2 linked regions of the Rhinolophus ferrumequinum genome follow. The protein of the gene in region 1 binds, or shares a complex with, the protein of each later gene. Links are inferred from orthologs where the notes say so. Each region holds a gene or a part of one and is shown on either strand. Other genes may lie near its edges.

Evidence for each region. The genes of interacting proteins can lie anywhere in the genome.
Region 2: ALYREF (region 1) and MAGOH share a complex: the UniProt entries of both Homo sapiens proteins name them as parts of the ALYREF/THOC4-EJC-RNA complex. The link is inferred for Rhinolophus ferrumequinum from reciprocal best matches to the Homo sapiens genes ALYREF and MAGOH.

Annotation. Positions count from the first base shown.
Region 1 is NC_046304.1:54,671,022-54,677,942, forward strand, and holds the start of ALYREF (THO complex subunit 4), read right to left. Parts: upstream 3,020-6,921; 5' UTR 2,999-3,019; coding exon 2,762-2,998; intron 2,318-2,761; coding exon 2,186-2,317; intron 778-2,185; coding exon 630-777; intron 65-629; coding exon 1-64. Other genes in the region: ANAPC11 (anaphase-promoting complex subunit 11), read left to right, coding at 3,710-3,818. UniProt on the Homo sapiens protein: Functions as an mRNA export adapter; component of the transcription/export (TREX) complex which is thought to couple mRNA transcription, processing and nuclear export, and specifically associates with spliced mRNA and not with unspliced pre-mRNA.
Region 2 is NC_046292.1:38,088,250-38,096,293, reverse strand, and holds the start of MAGOH (protein mago nashi homolog), read left to right. Parts: upstream 1-4,971; 5' UTR 4,972-5,062; coding exon 5,063-5,150; intron 5,151-7,724; coding exon 7,725-7,783; intron 7,784-8,044. UniProt on the Homo sapiens protein: Required for pre-mRNA splicing as component of the spliceosome. Plays a redundant role with MAGOHB as core component of the exon junction complex (EJC) and in the nonsense-mediated decay (NMD) pathway.

The sequences.
Region 1 (6,921 bases):
CTCTGTATCGGTCTCCGCTGTGTGTCAATCTGTGACGTGACGAGCTGAATGTTCATGGGGCGGCCTGTGGCAAAGAATACAAGAGGGCACGTTCCTGTTAGAGACCTCTGACGCCCACCCAGGGCACCACGCCCCGGTCTCCATGCAGGCACTGGGAAGGGGCCGTGCGTGTCTCGATCGCTCGCGACAAGAGACGGCGCCGACGACAACCCACCACCACCTCCTCGCTCCTCAGTCCAGCTTAGGAGGGTGTCTGGTCAGGTGTCCAGGCTGCTCATGGGCGGAACGGTGTGGGCGCCCTGCCAGGAGGAGAGCTGGTACCTTTGTTTACGACTACAGCCCCGCACTCAGAGGTGTACTCTGGCGGCTGAGAAGGCTTCACAGGAGTGAGTCTTCCGAAGGAGCTGAACGAGGGGAGGGATGTAGCTTGCTGGTGGGGGTTCACAAGAGGTTGGTCCACATGTATGGGGCAGCGTGAGAAGTGGCAGAGTGGGAGAGAGACAAAGGGGCGAGTGCAAAGTGTCCTCAGCCAGAGGGGAGAGCCATATTCCTGCATGGACGGGTGCCAGCCCCAACTCCACAAACCAGGCGTGGCCCCTCAGTCTTCTTGGGTCCAATCCCAAACGCACCATCCAGAGGGACGCCGTTGTACTGTTTCATAGCTTTCAGGGCGTCTGCCTTCCGTTCAAAGTGCACGTCGGCTGTTCCCAGACTGCGTCCGGAGCGGTCGTAGTGCACGGCCGCTTTCTTCAGAGTGCCAAACTCAGCAAAGAGTTCCTGGGAGTTAGAAACAGCAACTGTCAGCGGGCTCTTTTCCTTCTGCTGGCCCAGGGACAGTCCCTGGAAGTGTGAGCTACTTTGAGGGGATTTCCCTGGGGGCAGGGCAGTGGTAGTGGGAAATGGGGGCAAGGATGGGGCAGGTGGGACAGCCCCCTCCAGGAGCAGCTGGGCCTGAGGGCTCCTGCCAACTTGGGGACCTGACATCTGTACCACGATGCAGGTGAAGGGCCGCAAAGCCCATCAGTGCAGGGCACGACATGAGGTCACTATCTCCTTCAGCAAAGGAAAGTGTACAACACACCCACGGACTGTGCCAACAAACAGCAAAGGCCAAGACCACAGCTCAAGGGGCGCCGTCTGACATGTGGACCAGCTCCAAGGGCCCTGACTCGGGAGCCCTGACCCAGCCCCTCCCCCGGGGCAGATTCTGGCTCACCTTTCCCTCTCCTCCTACTCAAGCCTGCCGCAAAGTCTGAAGTCAAGCGCTGCCATGGAAACTGCCCTGACCTCAGGCAGGCTGGGAGTTGGAGAGGGAACCCAGAGTGTGGGGCTACTCCGGCCGCAGGCACACAGCGGGAAGTGGAGTTCACCAAAAGCGGTTTCCAGTGGATGCCAGAAACCACCTTAAAAAAAGTGTTGAGACACTGTGAGTGCTCATCAGCCTTGCTCTGTCCTCCCACAGCTGGGCTCTGGGAAATTGAACCCAGGAAGGCCCAGAACCCTGACCCGGCCATCTCCAGGACTGACCCCCAAGATGTTGTCATTTAACCAGAAAATAGGTTTAAATGCCTTTGAGGTTCAATCAAAAAAAGAAAAAGAAAAAGGGGGGGGCGGGAAGAGGCTTCAACCAAAGATGGGTCGGCAAGTCATGCTACTAACAAGACCTGAGGGATGGTGGTGAGTGGACCGGCACGTGTAAGACACAGGGCTCACGGCCGACAGCCAGAAAGACGCCCTGGCCTGCTTCTGTGCTGTCACCTCTACAGAGGTAGGTCTTTCTCCTCTCAACGAATCATGAAAACAAGCACAAAGTAAAGCAAGCAAGCAGCCCAGCTCCATCAGTAACACAGGAACCACGCGAGTCTGACCAGTCTTTTCCTGTTAGAAACGGGAAGCTCTGGCAGAGAACCTCACTCACGGAACAGGTTTTAGTAAGGGAGGGCAGCGGCTCCTTACACTAGGCTGGGGGCCTGTTTTCCAGCACAAATGGACCTACTCCTTGCAGGTTCAGCTCTAGCATGACCTCGGCTCTCCACCCTAGCAGCCCCTGACAGGGGACAGTGGCTAGCCCTCGGGTGTCTGGGAGGGCTCAATGTCCTAAGGTGGGAAGGGATTCAGGGCCACATCCCAAACGCCATCAATTCCGCGTGGGTCAACTACCGACCGACAGGATCCTGTCTCTTACCTGTATGTCAGCGTCCGACACTCCAAAATCCAGATTGGACACCAGCAGTTTCCCACCGGTCTCCACGCCGGCACCACCCCCAAAGCCGCTGTCGAAAAGGTCATGTTGCCACTTGTCAGGAAGTTGTTTCGGCTGAAGGGGGAAAACACACAACAGAAAGAAACCCGTGAGTTGCATTCCAGGGCTGCCCCTCGCCCTCACTGCCCCTGGAAGACCCTCTCCCAGCGGGGCCCGGAGGAAAGTGCGGAAAGGGGCCTGAAGCCCTCCGCTTCCCGCCCGCGCCGAGCCGCAGTCGACCCTGCCGGGGCCCCACGTCCCGCGACTTTTCCAACTAACTTCTCGCCGCCGGTGTGGCCGCGGAAACGTCCCCTCAGTGCCTGCCGCCACGAGGCTCGGCGGCCAGACAAAGGCCGGGAGGGTGTCCGCCTCCCGGGCCCGGCCGGCGCGCGACCTCCCGCCCGGCCCAGCGCCCGCGCCCGCGCCCACCCGCCCGGCCCGGCCCGTCGCCCTCTCGGCCGCGCGCCGCCCCGCCGCGCCGCTCCCCTGCCGCGGCCCGCCGGCGGCCTCCGCACTCACCCTGCTGTAGGGCGCCGGTCGGTTCCTGCCACCGCCGCCCGCCGCGCCGCGGGCGAGGGCCGGCCGGTTCCGCATGGGACCGCCGCCCCGACTCACTCGCGCGGCGGCCTGTGCTCCGCCGCCGCGGCCTCCCTGCGAGCCAGCCCGGCCGCGGCCCCGACCCCCGCCGCGGCCGCCTCGCTGGCTCCGGTTCAGCTTAATGATGTCGTCCAGAGACATGTCCATTTTGTCGGCCATGGCGGGCGCGGAATCGGCCTCGGCTCGAGCCCGCGCGTCAGCACGCCGGCGCGTCACTTCCGGCGACGCGCGGGGCCTTCCGGTGCCGCGTTCTCGGAGCGGCCGCCGATTGGTTGCAGGCCGGCGGAGGCGGTGGGGGCCGGGGCGGCGCGTGCGCACTGGGACGCGGGGGGGGTCAGCGGGCTCCACTGCCAGGTCCCGGGCCGCGGCCGCGGTAGTTTTTGTAGCTTCGCGCGCGGGCTCCGGCGCTGCCAACTGAAGGCGGGCGGTGCTGCGCGCGATTAAGTCCGCTTGGGCGCGGGGCGGGGCGGAACGGGGCTCGTCGCCCCTCCCCTCGGGCGACTCCGGCTGGGTGGTGGTTTCCCGCGTGAACTCACAGCAAGCGAGGTTCGAGTCTCTGCCCGTCACCCCCAAGTTAGTCATGTCCTTCAAGAAGTGCTGTATGGCACGTTGTGGCAGTTTAGTAGCGAAAGCCAGCGCGCCCTTTGGCCGGTCTTTGCAGATGCCCTGAGTGCGTGGCGAGTATCCGGGGCTCCGGTCCTCCCACGGGCGACCCCTTTAGCCGCCTTTCCCCCTCTCGGTGGCTACAAGGGTTTCTCAGAGCCGACCCTCTGCCTCGGGCAGCATCCCTTGTTTGGTGTCTAAATGCTGTCGCTCTGCAGACTAAGGGCAGCAGGTGATGTCTTCCCCTCGCCCGCAGGCTCCTCCGTCATGAAGGTGAAGATTAAGTGCTGGAACGGCGTGGCCACTTGGCTCTGGGTGGCCAACGACGAGAATTGCGGCATCTGCCGGATGGCCTTTAATGGCTGCTGCCCGGACTGTGAGTGTCCCCTGTGCTCGCTGTGTCTTGAGCTCTGTTTACTCGCCTGGCGGTGCTGTCTCCCCCAGAAATACCCGCACAAAGTCCCTGGGTTGTGGTCTCCCTTTTCTCAAGAAAAGTTGGCAGAGAAAAGGTAGGCGGTTTGGGCCCATATTTGTATAAAGACACCATCAAAAGTTTTGTAAGGAGAAACAGTACAGCCTTTTATCACGATCAAACTGGGCCGGGAAACTCAGGGGACAAAGAGATGCATTAAAACCTTTCATTTGAAAATTCTCAAACAAGAAAAGGAATATTAGAAGGATACGCCCTCCATTGAGCACAGGGAGTAACAGTGAATAACGTTTCCATGTTCGCTTCATGTGTTGCCTCCCCCCACTCACTCAGTCGCATTTAAATGTAACGCTACTGTTGTCACATCAGACAACCTAAGAATTCCTCTGTGTCACCTGTGCCCATCCCTAGCCCACATTCAGATTTCTCCGGTTGTCCCCAAATGTCTTCTTCCCCAAGTGGTCTGAACCAGGACTCCCCGTTTCACTACTCTGCTCCTTAGCTACTCAGAACAGCCCTTCCCCCGCCCCTCTTTCCCCTTTAAAGACACCTGACTCCTTGAGGAAACCCACGTGTTACCTTGCAGAGTGCCTACCATCAAGTTTTGTTGGATTTCTTCTTTGTGATGTCTTTTGCCCTGTTCCTTTGTCGTCAGGATGTTCTGTGAAGTAGGAATGTTTGATTATATATTTAGGTCAAAAGCAGATTTTTGCACCAATGAATTGAGTTTTTTAGTCAGACCCAAGTGAACCCAAAGCAGAAGCAAGGGTCAAGGCTTTGTCTAGGGTACAAGGGCGGTCCCAAGAGGGAAGGGGGGCTTGGGGACTCCTGAGGAGCTCCTCACTGCCCTGTGAATGACCAGGTCTTCGTGGGGCTACATGAGTGCCCAGAACAGTAACCGTGCTTTGCTTCTTACAGTGAAATGTAAACCATGGACTTTTAGTGCAAATACTTTTTTCTTCTAGGCTTAATCTTTATATCTGCTTTGGGTGAAAAGAGATCTCATTACCCAGGAATCAGTCCATCCTGATTTAATCAAATGGGTGGGACTTAATCTTAGGAACTCATTGATTGGCTCTACTTGATCAGGTTTCACTTAATGAGAACAGCGATGCGCAAGGCTTGGTTTGATTTAATCTATTTTTAAATCGCCCTTCCTGAGGGTACCACAGAGACAGTGGGAGCCGGAAGGAGCAAATCCTTGCAACTTTCTATGCAGCAGATTGTTCCTTTCTGAAAAGGCCTCAAAAGCATTTTTGTGGCCGTGCCCTTGGTCAGTGTGAGCTAGTGAGCCTGTATAAAGATGGCACCACTGGGCCTGCACTGCCTGAGGAGCCCGCCAGTATTATTCCAGCTGGGCCTGTGGCTGGGCATCTCCACATGTGGGCCTGCCAGCTGCGAGAGTAGGGGTTCAGAGTCTGATCCTTGGACCCTGTGGAGTGAGCCAGTTGTCAAGTTCAAGGCGCCTGATGAGCATGAGGTGCTTTCTGTACAGCTGAGGTGGCACTGGGTTTCTGTGGCTGAAGTGGAGCTCCTGTGCGGAACGACAGCCTCTGAGCCTATGATGAACCTGCCCCGTGGCCCTGAGGGCTCTGGGAGTAAGTCTTGTTGAGGGGTGTTTTAACTAAAAAGGACTTCCATCAAGACACTAGCAGGCCTTTGGGGGAGCCACCGACCTGGTGTTCGTGTGCTCAACACGTGCCCCCGGCAGGTTCCTCTGTCCACGTGCTCTGCAGCAGTGGCTGGGTGGCCGGGTGCCCCACCAGGCGGCTAGCAGGCTCCTGCTCATGGTTTTCCATCCTCTATTTGTAAGGGACTCTACTTTTTATATGGTGATTCCAAGGGGCGTTCTTTCTTCTGAGGTTGGAAAGGCCCGGGGGGCCCGGGGTGGGGGGGGGTGGGAACTAATCTAAATCAGGTGTCACACAGTGTGGCCTCCTGCACAGGCCTGGGAAGGAGAGTGAGTGACATGTTTTGTATTTGCTGAGCACATAATTTTCTGGTGGTTTTGTCATAAAAGCTCAGGAAGCAAGGGACATTTTTGTTTTAGAAAGGATTTTTAAAAGGTTGAGAAACATTGTCCCGAACAAGTGAATGAGAAGGTGGAGCGGTGGCCACTTTCCCTCATGACTTGGTGGATGGCTGTGCCCTTTGGGTGGGGAACTGTGCGTGCTCAGCAGACGCCAAGCGTACTTAGGAGCCCATGTTTGTCCCTGACCCAGTACCCACCCCGGCCGCCTGTCTGAGATGGGGTGCCAAGGAGGCTGCAGAGTGCTGAGAGGCTGGAGGAGAGTGCAGGCCGTGTTCCTAGCCCCTTGTTCTGTGCAAGCGGTTGTTAAGTGGGGTTTTGAGAGCATTGTTTTATGGCTCGGCCGTAGTGTTCTTTCTTTAATGTGCTGCAGGGTCACGCCACCCCGTGTTTGGTGTCAAGAGTGGCGGCCAGGCCTGGCCCTGTGGTCACGGGTCCAAAGACAGTTTCTGTCCTCTGCACCTAAGACACGTATTGCAAATGGAGCTGCTGCCTGGAAAAGACGTCCCTGGTCACTGGGCCTGGCTTGTCTCTGAGGTCCCTTGTGTTTGTGCAGCAGTGACCTCTGGATGTAGCTAGCGCTCGCTAAGTGTAGAGGGCCCCCAAGGCAGTGGCATGGGGGAAAGGCACCCCAGGACAGGGTGGAAGCAGCGAGTGTCAGCTCCTGGATGTCTGTGGGGACCCTGCTCGGGGGGCCTGGGGAGGTCACTGTGCGCCGCTGGCACCGCTGACTGACAGCGTTTTCTAGAATTTGGGAAATCAGAGGGACGCTTGTGTCTGGAGCACGAGCTGTGTGGCGTGTCCTGTCCATAGATGCAGCGCTCCCAGGTGCCGGCAGCGTGTGCCTGGGCCTTGGAGGTGGGACCTTTTCAGGCTAGAAACGGCTGAGAGGTGGAAGGTAGCACTGTGCTCACAGCCGGCCTAGAACAGGCCAGGCCGTAGACAGCAGTGCAGCCCACTCCGGTGTCTTGCCGCTTGGGGACGGAAGCTTCTCGGGCCTGAGGCCCCAGCCCTCTTGGC
Region 2 (8,044 bases), on another chromosome or scaffold:
CTGGAAGGAAGCTTAAAAACGATGCCAGGAGGGCAGGAAATTTATCAGACATATTTTTTCTCTATTTAAAAGAAACTGGTCCCTGTCCTTTTCCTCCCTTTCCTTCTCCAGGAGACTACTTTGGGCTGCCTGATCACTGTACCAAACCTGCTATCTATCTTTCCAATGGAATTATGAAGGCCCTGGCAGAAATGGCCTTTCAGAAACAGAGAAAACTAAAATTTTATTTATTTACTTTAGATAGCATGGTTATTTATAAAACAGATGGAGGTAACCTGTAACCTTGGAATGAGATCAGATTTAAATTTATGGCAAAAAGTACTATTGATCCCTCCAATTCTCTCTTTGTGATTGCAGTATATTAATTCACTGAAACCATTTTCTAGGTACCAACTAAGTGTCAGGCACTACAGATGTACAGGTCAACCAAACATTTTCTGTCTTTATGGAGCACATAATAGCAATAGAGGAAGACATGTGGAAACATAAAAAAGAATAGATTCTTTTCAGAGTATTAAGATACAAAGAGATCATTTCTACCCAAGAAGATGAGGAATGGGGTCAAGAAAGGCATCATAGGAGAAGTGACCTTAAGCTAAGTCTTAAAAATTAAGTAGGGGTGTCCAAGTTGCTTCAGGCAGAGGAGACACAGAGGCATGGAACAGCATGGGGACTTTAAGGAAGTGCATGTAATTCATTAGAAGGAACAAAAAGCTCAAGGGAGACTTAGCAAGAAATGAGGCTCAATGAAAAGACAGGTTCAATTAAGCACTTTATAGAATACTTCTATTTAATTTCTGATTCAATTAAGCAAACATTTCTTGGTCATTTATTGTGTACGAGGCACTGAGTGCATCATGAAAACTTCATCAGGATGTGTTGCCAGCCCTTTGCAGGCTTGGCATTCTTCAGCCTCAAGCTTTCCAGTGGCCAAAGGGAAATCGTGACTGCTTTTCATATATTTGAGTTGAAGTTTTTTGATATGGTCAATGACAACTAATATAAGGGCCGTGGAATTTTCACAGAAGCACTCCACGTTGTCAGGAGCCTCAGATTTTCTCAACAGTGAGAAAGAAAACTGGAAATGTTGAAGACATGAGTCTACAGAGGTAACCCCAGCACTGTCCAGTCAGGCGTTGGTGGGAATGGGGAGAGGGCACAGGAAGGTGAGCCTCCCCACCTCACTCCCTAACTTTAGCCACACACTCGTCATTTCACAGAATATAAATGGTTAGCAGTTAAAACATTTCAGAGTAAATTATTTACTTTCCCATCAATGCATGAAGATAGAGGATTGCAGTTTTCTCACACTGTATTTTTAGGGTATTGGGGATATTCAGGATATGGAGAACTTAGAGGTAGAAGAATTACAGCTTCAAATTTTCAGTTAATAATTCAGGAAGCTCTTTTCATTCAAGCTATGCACCATGTGCATATTCAAAAATCAGCAGAAACCCTCTGTATTTGCAACACTTTGTGCTATAAAAAGTAATTTTAAAAAGAACCACCTGTATATGTATATATAGATATATTTAAAGACATGAAGGTTTTGATACTTTTTTACAAAAATTACAAGAGAAAACAAATACCTGTACAAACCATGTGTTTTAAAATAGCATTTTGTTCTATACAAGCTGTTGTTAATTTGGGGGTGAAGTACTGGTCTGCAAACTCCATCACACTGTACCCCAATGAATTTTCCTTGTTTGTTCCCCACCCCCTCGCACACACACACCCAAATTACCATATTTGATGTAACAGGCAAACAGGCATGTTAGAATGTTGGATCACACTAACCATTTCTGATCTTTTTGTCTCATCATTCCGAGTTCCGTTAGTTTCTGTACTCAGTCCCCTTTGCAGTCTGGTTTCTCTTCCAGAGGCAAAGGGTGGAGTGTTGCATCTTACTAGCTGTATTGACGTCATCTTGGTGAACTAAAAACCAAGTGTGGACATTTGTAAAATCAGTGCACTGTTTCTAGAGAGACATTAAATTCATTTTTTAAAATCTGAAAGTGTTTCATTGTGATGCTTTAATGAGGGGGGAGTGAACAATCATTGGTTGAGTCCCTAGTGTGGACCTAGTATTATTCTACATAAATTACCTTAATGTTCATCAACGAATCTGTGAAATAAATACTGTCAACATTATCATTCCCATTTTATAGATAAGGAAATGGGTGAAGGAACTGCCCAAAGTCATAGTTATGTTTAGTGCCCCCAAAGTACATGTAGCACATAGCGCTCATGTACATGTGGCATTCTCTGCCTCGATTTTCCTTCTCTGCCTCTTTATCTGGCTAACTCCTGTTTGTCCTTGAGTACTCTGCTTAGGCCTACTCCTCCAGGAAGCATTCTCTCAGACCCAGACCTAACTCATAGGGTAGGGTAATTATGCTTCCACAACAAATTTGGCCTACTTGTATCCCAATACTTCTGCCCTGCTTCTCACCCCCATGCCACTGAGGTTGCTTTTTACCAAGGTCAGCCAGGAGCTCATTGATCATAAATAGTGTAAATACTTTCACTCCTTACCTTCCTAGACCTTGCAAGGAGTATTTAACACTGTTGGCACTCCTTTCTTAGGATACTCTTACTTTGGCTTACATGACACCATACTTCTGTTTTTCCCCCTACCTCTCTGGCCACATCTTAATCTCCTTTGCTCACACCTTAAATTATGGTATTCCAGCTCAAATCCATCCATTTTTGTATCTCCATTGCTACTATTGGAGTACATAAAGATCACCATCATGGATTATCACCATCGTAGATTAACAACTAATCTGAATTTCATACTTCTAATTTTTCCATTTTCCAATCCAATCTATAACATTGTAGCCACAGTAATCTTTCTAGAATACATTAGGTCATGCCACCACCACCCCGTTTTACTTTCCTGCTTTAAAGCCCTTCATCTGTTTCCTTTGTATTAAAATCCAGTACCCTTGGGTTTTAGCCTAAACTACTTAATAGGGCTTGTAAGATCCTCATGATTTGGCTTCTGCCCCTTTCCTACCTCTTCTGTATTCTAATCACAGTTCTGGGCCCTCTGGAACATTTCCTTCAGACTTCCCTTAAGCCCCTAGACTGGATTAGGAGCCACTCCCTGTGCTTCCATAGTATTTTGTGCTTCCCCTATTTATAACCTTGATCCCTACATTATAATTGCTTGTATGCTCAATTGCCTCCTCTGCAAGCTCTATAAAGGTCTGTTTTATTCACCATTGTATTCCTAGCGCATGACACACAGATTAAAACCCAATACCCCGGGGTTTTAGCCCAAACTCCTTAATATGTCTTGTAAGGTCCTTCATGATTACCTGATGTCTCTATATACTTAACTCCAGTTACTACCTCAAGATTTTTATAAGGATTGAAGGAACAAGCACTTGTAAATGGGCTCAGCTTTGGGGCTGACATTTATTAGGTGCTTAATACCTGGTGATTCCTTTCACTTTTTTATACAATTTCCTTGTTACCACCTATATCCAGGATTTTTAAAAAATAAAATGCCTTACGGTTTTATGGTAATTTAGTTTGTATTTTCCAATTTCCAAAACATTGTTTCTTATCCTTGAAAGAGTTCTGCCAGGTATATAACAAGCTCATTTTAAAGATAAGAAATCTGAAGTCCAAAAAATTCAGTAAGTTCACCTTTGATCACAGTGAATCACTATCACACAAAGGATTATTTTAACACTTCTCAAGTGATTTTTTTTTTTACATCACATCACACCCACTTTACACTCTGCTACCAATGCTTTTTCTGGGAGAAAATGAACAATGGCAAGACTAGGAATGAGAATCAGACTATAGGCCTGAATACAAAAATAGTATCCAGTTATAGTTGCCAGGTCCCAAGAATGATGCCATCTCGGCACTGTCTCTAGAACCAGTTCCATTCCCCCTCTGGCTGGAACTTAGGTGAGCTAAAGCAGGGTTCTAGTAATTAGGATTTTGATTGCCCTTTGCCTAATCAAGAAGCAAAAATTTCCCACAGCCAGAAATCCTTCACAGAGGTCAACCAGTTTGGCCTGAAGAGACAAGAACCTCTTGGGCAGTTCTCAACCCTGACTCATCCCGGGAGCTTTGCAAAAAACAAACAAACAAAAACCCCAAAACCCCCCAAACAAACAAAAACCCAAAACCACCCATGTCCAGGTCCACTGCGAGAGATCTTGATTTAATTGGTTTGGGGTGGGGCCCAGGCATCGGTATTTTTCAGATGCTCCGAGGTGATTCTATTGTGCAGCCAGGGCTGAGAAATCCCTGCTGGGTAAGCAGTGCATAGATGTCTGGGGAGTGGGAGATCAAATACTCAAATTACCTTCTACGCACGCACTTCAGAGACCAGTGAGGTAGAACGGGAACGGCAGAAACAAAGGGTAGAGGGAAAATGAGAAATACGTGCGGGCAAGTTCATTCCAGAGAAATGGCAGTCTCCACTATGGGTTCAGGAAAAGCATCTCTGACAAAGGTTTTCTCGAACTGGTCCCTAACCAGCCCAGTTCGGTCGGAGCCAACTTTAGACATATGCATATAGTGCGCTGCGTTCTCCTGTGGGAACGGGTCATTTAACCCCATTTTACTGTTGAGATGACCTAGGTCCAGAGACCGCGAGGCGCCTTGTGCGACGCACACAAGTCCTTTGAATGGAAGTTGAGCCTGAAGGGACGCAGGACTCGGGGTGTTCAACCCAAGGTCTTGAAGCGAGGTCTACACACCCCTCACCGAAGCCCTGAATCCCTTCGTGGCTTGGCTGTCGGCCTCACTCCTAGGAGAACGCCGGCGGGTAAATCTCCGCCTCGTTTCCGCCTCGGGCTGAGGGAACGTGGCTGCACTGACCCCTCCACCGAGTGAAAAGAACATTGTTTCCGCCAGGAGAGACCCGGCAGCCTCAGCCCACAGCCCGGCTCGGGTGCGGAGCGGCGCCTTCGCTTCCGGCGATAGCGTTGACTTGACGTCACTTCCGGGCGCCGCCGTAAACGTCAGTGTTGGGCGCGTATGGTGGCGGTGTGGTTTGGTATTCAAGTTTGGTCTCCGTTACCTGTTGCGAGCCATGGAGAGTGACTTTTATCTACGTTACTACGTGGGTCACAAGGGCAAGTTCGGCCACGAATTCCTGGAATTTGAGTTCCGACCCGACGGTGAGAGCGGCCTCCAGCGCCCCGGGAGCTAGGAGTAGGCCTGGGGGGAGGCCAGTGGGGAGCCCGGGGGTCCGGAATGTGCGGGGAATTAGAGGAACGGACTGATACCTGTGCCGCGCGGATCTAGAAGGAACACTCCTGTGCTCTTCCTGTCCATGTGGAGGGACTTCTGTTTAGTGACATTTTTGACCAGCGTGCCTCATTCAGCAAACACTGATTGAACGCCCTCTTTGTGCTAGGCTGTGTTTCACAATCTGGGATACAGATTGATGTGAATGATAGATAAGCTTCCTCTCTCGTGGAACTTGTACTTCTATTGCGGGGAGAGAAATCGTAAACAAAAAAGGAGTCCAGATAGTGATCTGAAAATAAAGCAAAACGATGGAATTGCTGGTGGGCTGCTTTTAGATAGAGTGGCCATTGGAGAGCTCTCTGAAGAGGGGATGTTTGAACTGAGCCCTGTTTGACAAGAAGGAGCCCCCCTTATGAGGCTCAGAAGGAAGAGCATTCTAGGCAGAGGGAGGAACAAGTGTCAAGGCGGTAGGGCAGGGATGAACTAGGCATATTTCAGGTGACCAATATGGTTGAGAGTAGTGACCTCTGGGGAGAATAGTAGGAGATGATGTGGGATAAGTGGCAGGGGTCACACCATGTAGGTCTTTATAGGCCATGGTGAAGAGTTTGGATTTTATTCTAAGTGCAACAGGAAGCAACTGGAAAGTTAAGCAGAGAAGAGATGTGATCTGTGCTTGAGAAAGTATGCTAATTAGTGGGTGCAGAATAGGCAAGAGTGGAAACAGGGCTACTTATTAAGAGACAGTTAACAATTGTCCAGACAAAAGCGATGTTGGTTGGGTGGTAAAAATGGAGAGAAAAATTTAGGGTACTTTTGGAGGACGAACCAATAGGACTTTGTAAATTACATGATTTAGGGAGGGGCCACAGTGGTGAAGGAAAAGGAATAAAAAATGACGGAAAACTCCCACTAAATGGGGGCACAAAGATGAATCTGACAAGCTGAATTTTATGAAGGAGATAGATTTTTAAACAATGATAAGACAGTATTTTAGGTGCTGTGGTAGAAAGAAACAGAAGGGACTCTGGGAGTAGAAAGAAGGCATCTAATCTAGCCTAAGGGTTCAGAGCAGGCTTCTGGCATAAAATAACTTGGGGGCGGGGGAATGTGTCTTTAGTGGCTGTAGGAGTTGTTTAGGCAGATGAGACTCAAGAAGGTATTTTTGGACTGCATTTAAGGCAAAGAGAATGAAAACCAAAAAGTGCATGGGATGTTTCAGGCAGAAACCAAATAGTCCGATTAACTCCAGCTATGGGAGAGAGGACTGTTGCAGGAGTGAGCCTGGAAAGGCAGGGCAGGGGGCTCAGCTTAACAGTATGCCATGTTAATTTGGATTTTATCAAGAAGGCAGTGGGAAGCTACTGTCCATATCACAGTATTAGGAGTAACCTAATCAGATCTGTCTGTTACTACATCAGTTTGTCCACTATAGGGAGAATGAACTGAAAGGACAGACTTGAGGCAGAGAAACAGTGCAGTGAGGCATCAATTAATTTGGCTCTTTTTACATGTGTGCCTTCTATTCTATGGGGAAAAAAATCACCTCTTCTGTTTCTTTGTATCTTCTCCTTCATACCCACCATATACCCAAATTAGCCCGTTGAATGCACATATGCACAAAGGGCCTTATAAACCAAATGTGCTAAATAATAAAACAACTTTTCCATCATAGGAATAGATCAGAATATTGCACAGTCACATGGTAATATATGTAAACAGTATTTTACAGTTTTCAAAAGGCTTTCACAACTCATTTGAGCCTCTGGAGGCTCTCCGTGTAGGTAAGTTCCCAGTTACTCTCCCTGTTTTCAGCTGAGATATGACGTGCCTGTCACAAAAGAGTCTGCCTATGTTCTTTTATCACATCTGAGCTACCTTTTGCAAGAACTGTAATTCATTGTCAGCTATATTTTTGGCTATGAGGCTATTTAATAGCCTGAAGTGAAGAATTGAAAAAATTGTTACTGTTGAAACACCAGAGGTGTAAATAGTTAATCTGGGTGTCGTGCTCCTAATGCTGAGGTTGCCCATTCGATTCCCACATGGGCCAGTGAGCTGTACCCACCACAGCCAAGATTGTGAACAACGGCTCTCCCTGGAGCTGGGCTGCCGTGGGCTGCCGGAGGTTGGCTTGGGCTGCTGTGTGCTGTCAAGAGCAGCCGGTGGCCAGTGTGAGTGGCCGGCAGCCAGCAAGAGGTGCACTGAGCTGCTGTGAGAGACCGACCAACGACCGGCAACCGACTGCCTCAGCCAGGCGGGAGCACAAGGCTCGTAATACCAGCATGGGCCAGGGAGCTGTGTCCTATACAACTACACTGAACAACGGCTTGAACCGGAGTTGAGGGGGGAGGCAGAAAAAGGGGGGGGGGAGTAAATCTGTTAGACACTTGAGGGGAAAGTTAGGATACATTTTAAGCAACAGCTGATTGTCTTAGTAGGCTAATGATGTTTTATTCATGTTTTTATTATACATTGAATTTGTTTTTTGCCCCTCATAGGGAAACTGAGATATGCCAACAACAGCAATTACAAAAATGATGTCATGATCAGAAAAGAGGTAATGAGTCTTCTGAGAGCCTTTCATTCACTACGACTTAGCCTTTTGTCTTGTTTTTGTTCTTTCTGGGAGTAGTATTGAAAGATAAAGAATAGGGAAGTATAGAGTTTGTAGACAGCTTCTAAAGTTTTTCTCAAATCTACTTTTCATTTATATTTTGTTTCACAATGCTGAATCAATTACTGGTAATCATTTGATGTCTTGCAAATCTCGGTTTGAACCCTGAACCTACTACTTACTAACCATGTAACCTTGGGCAAA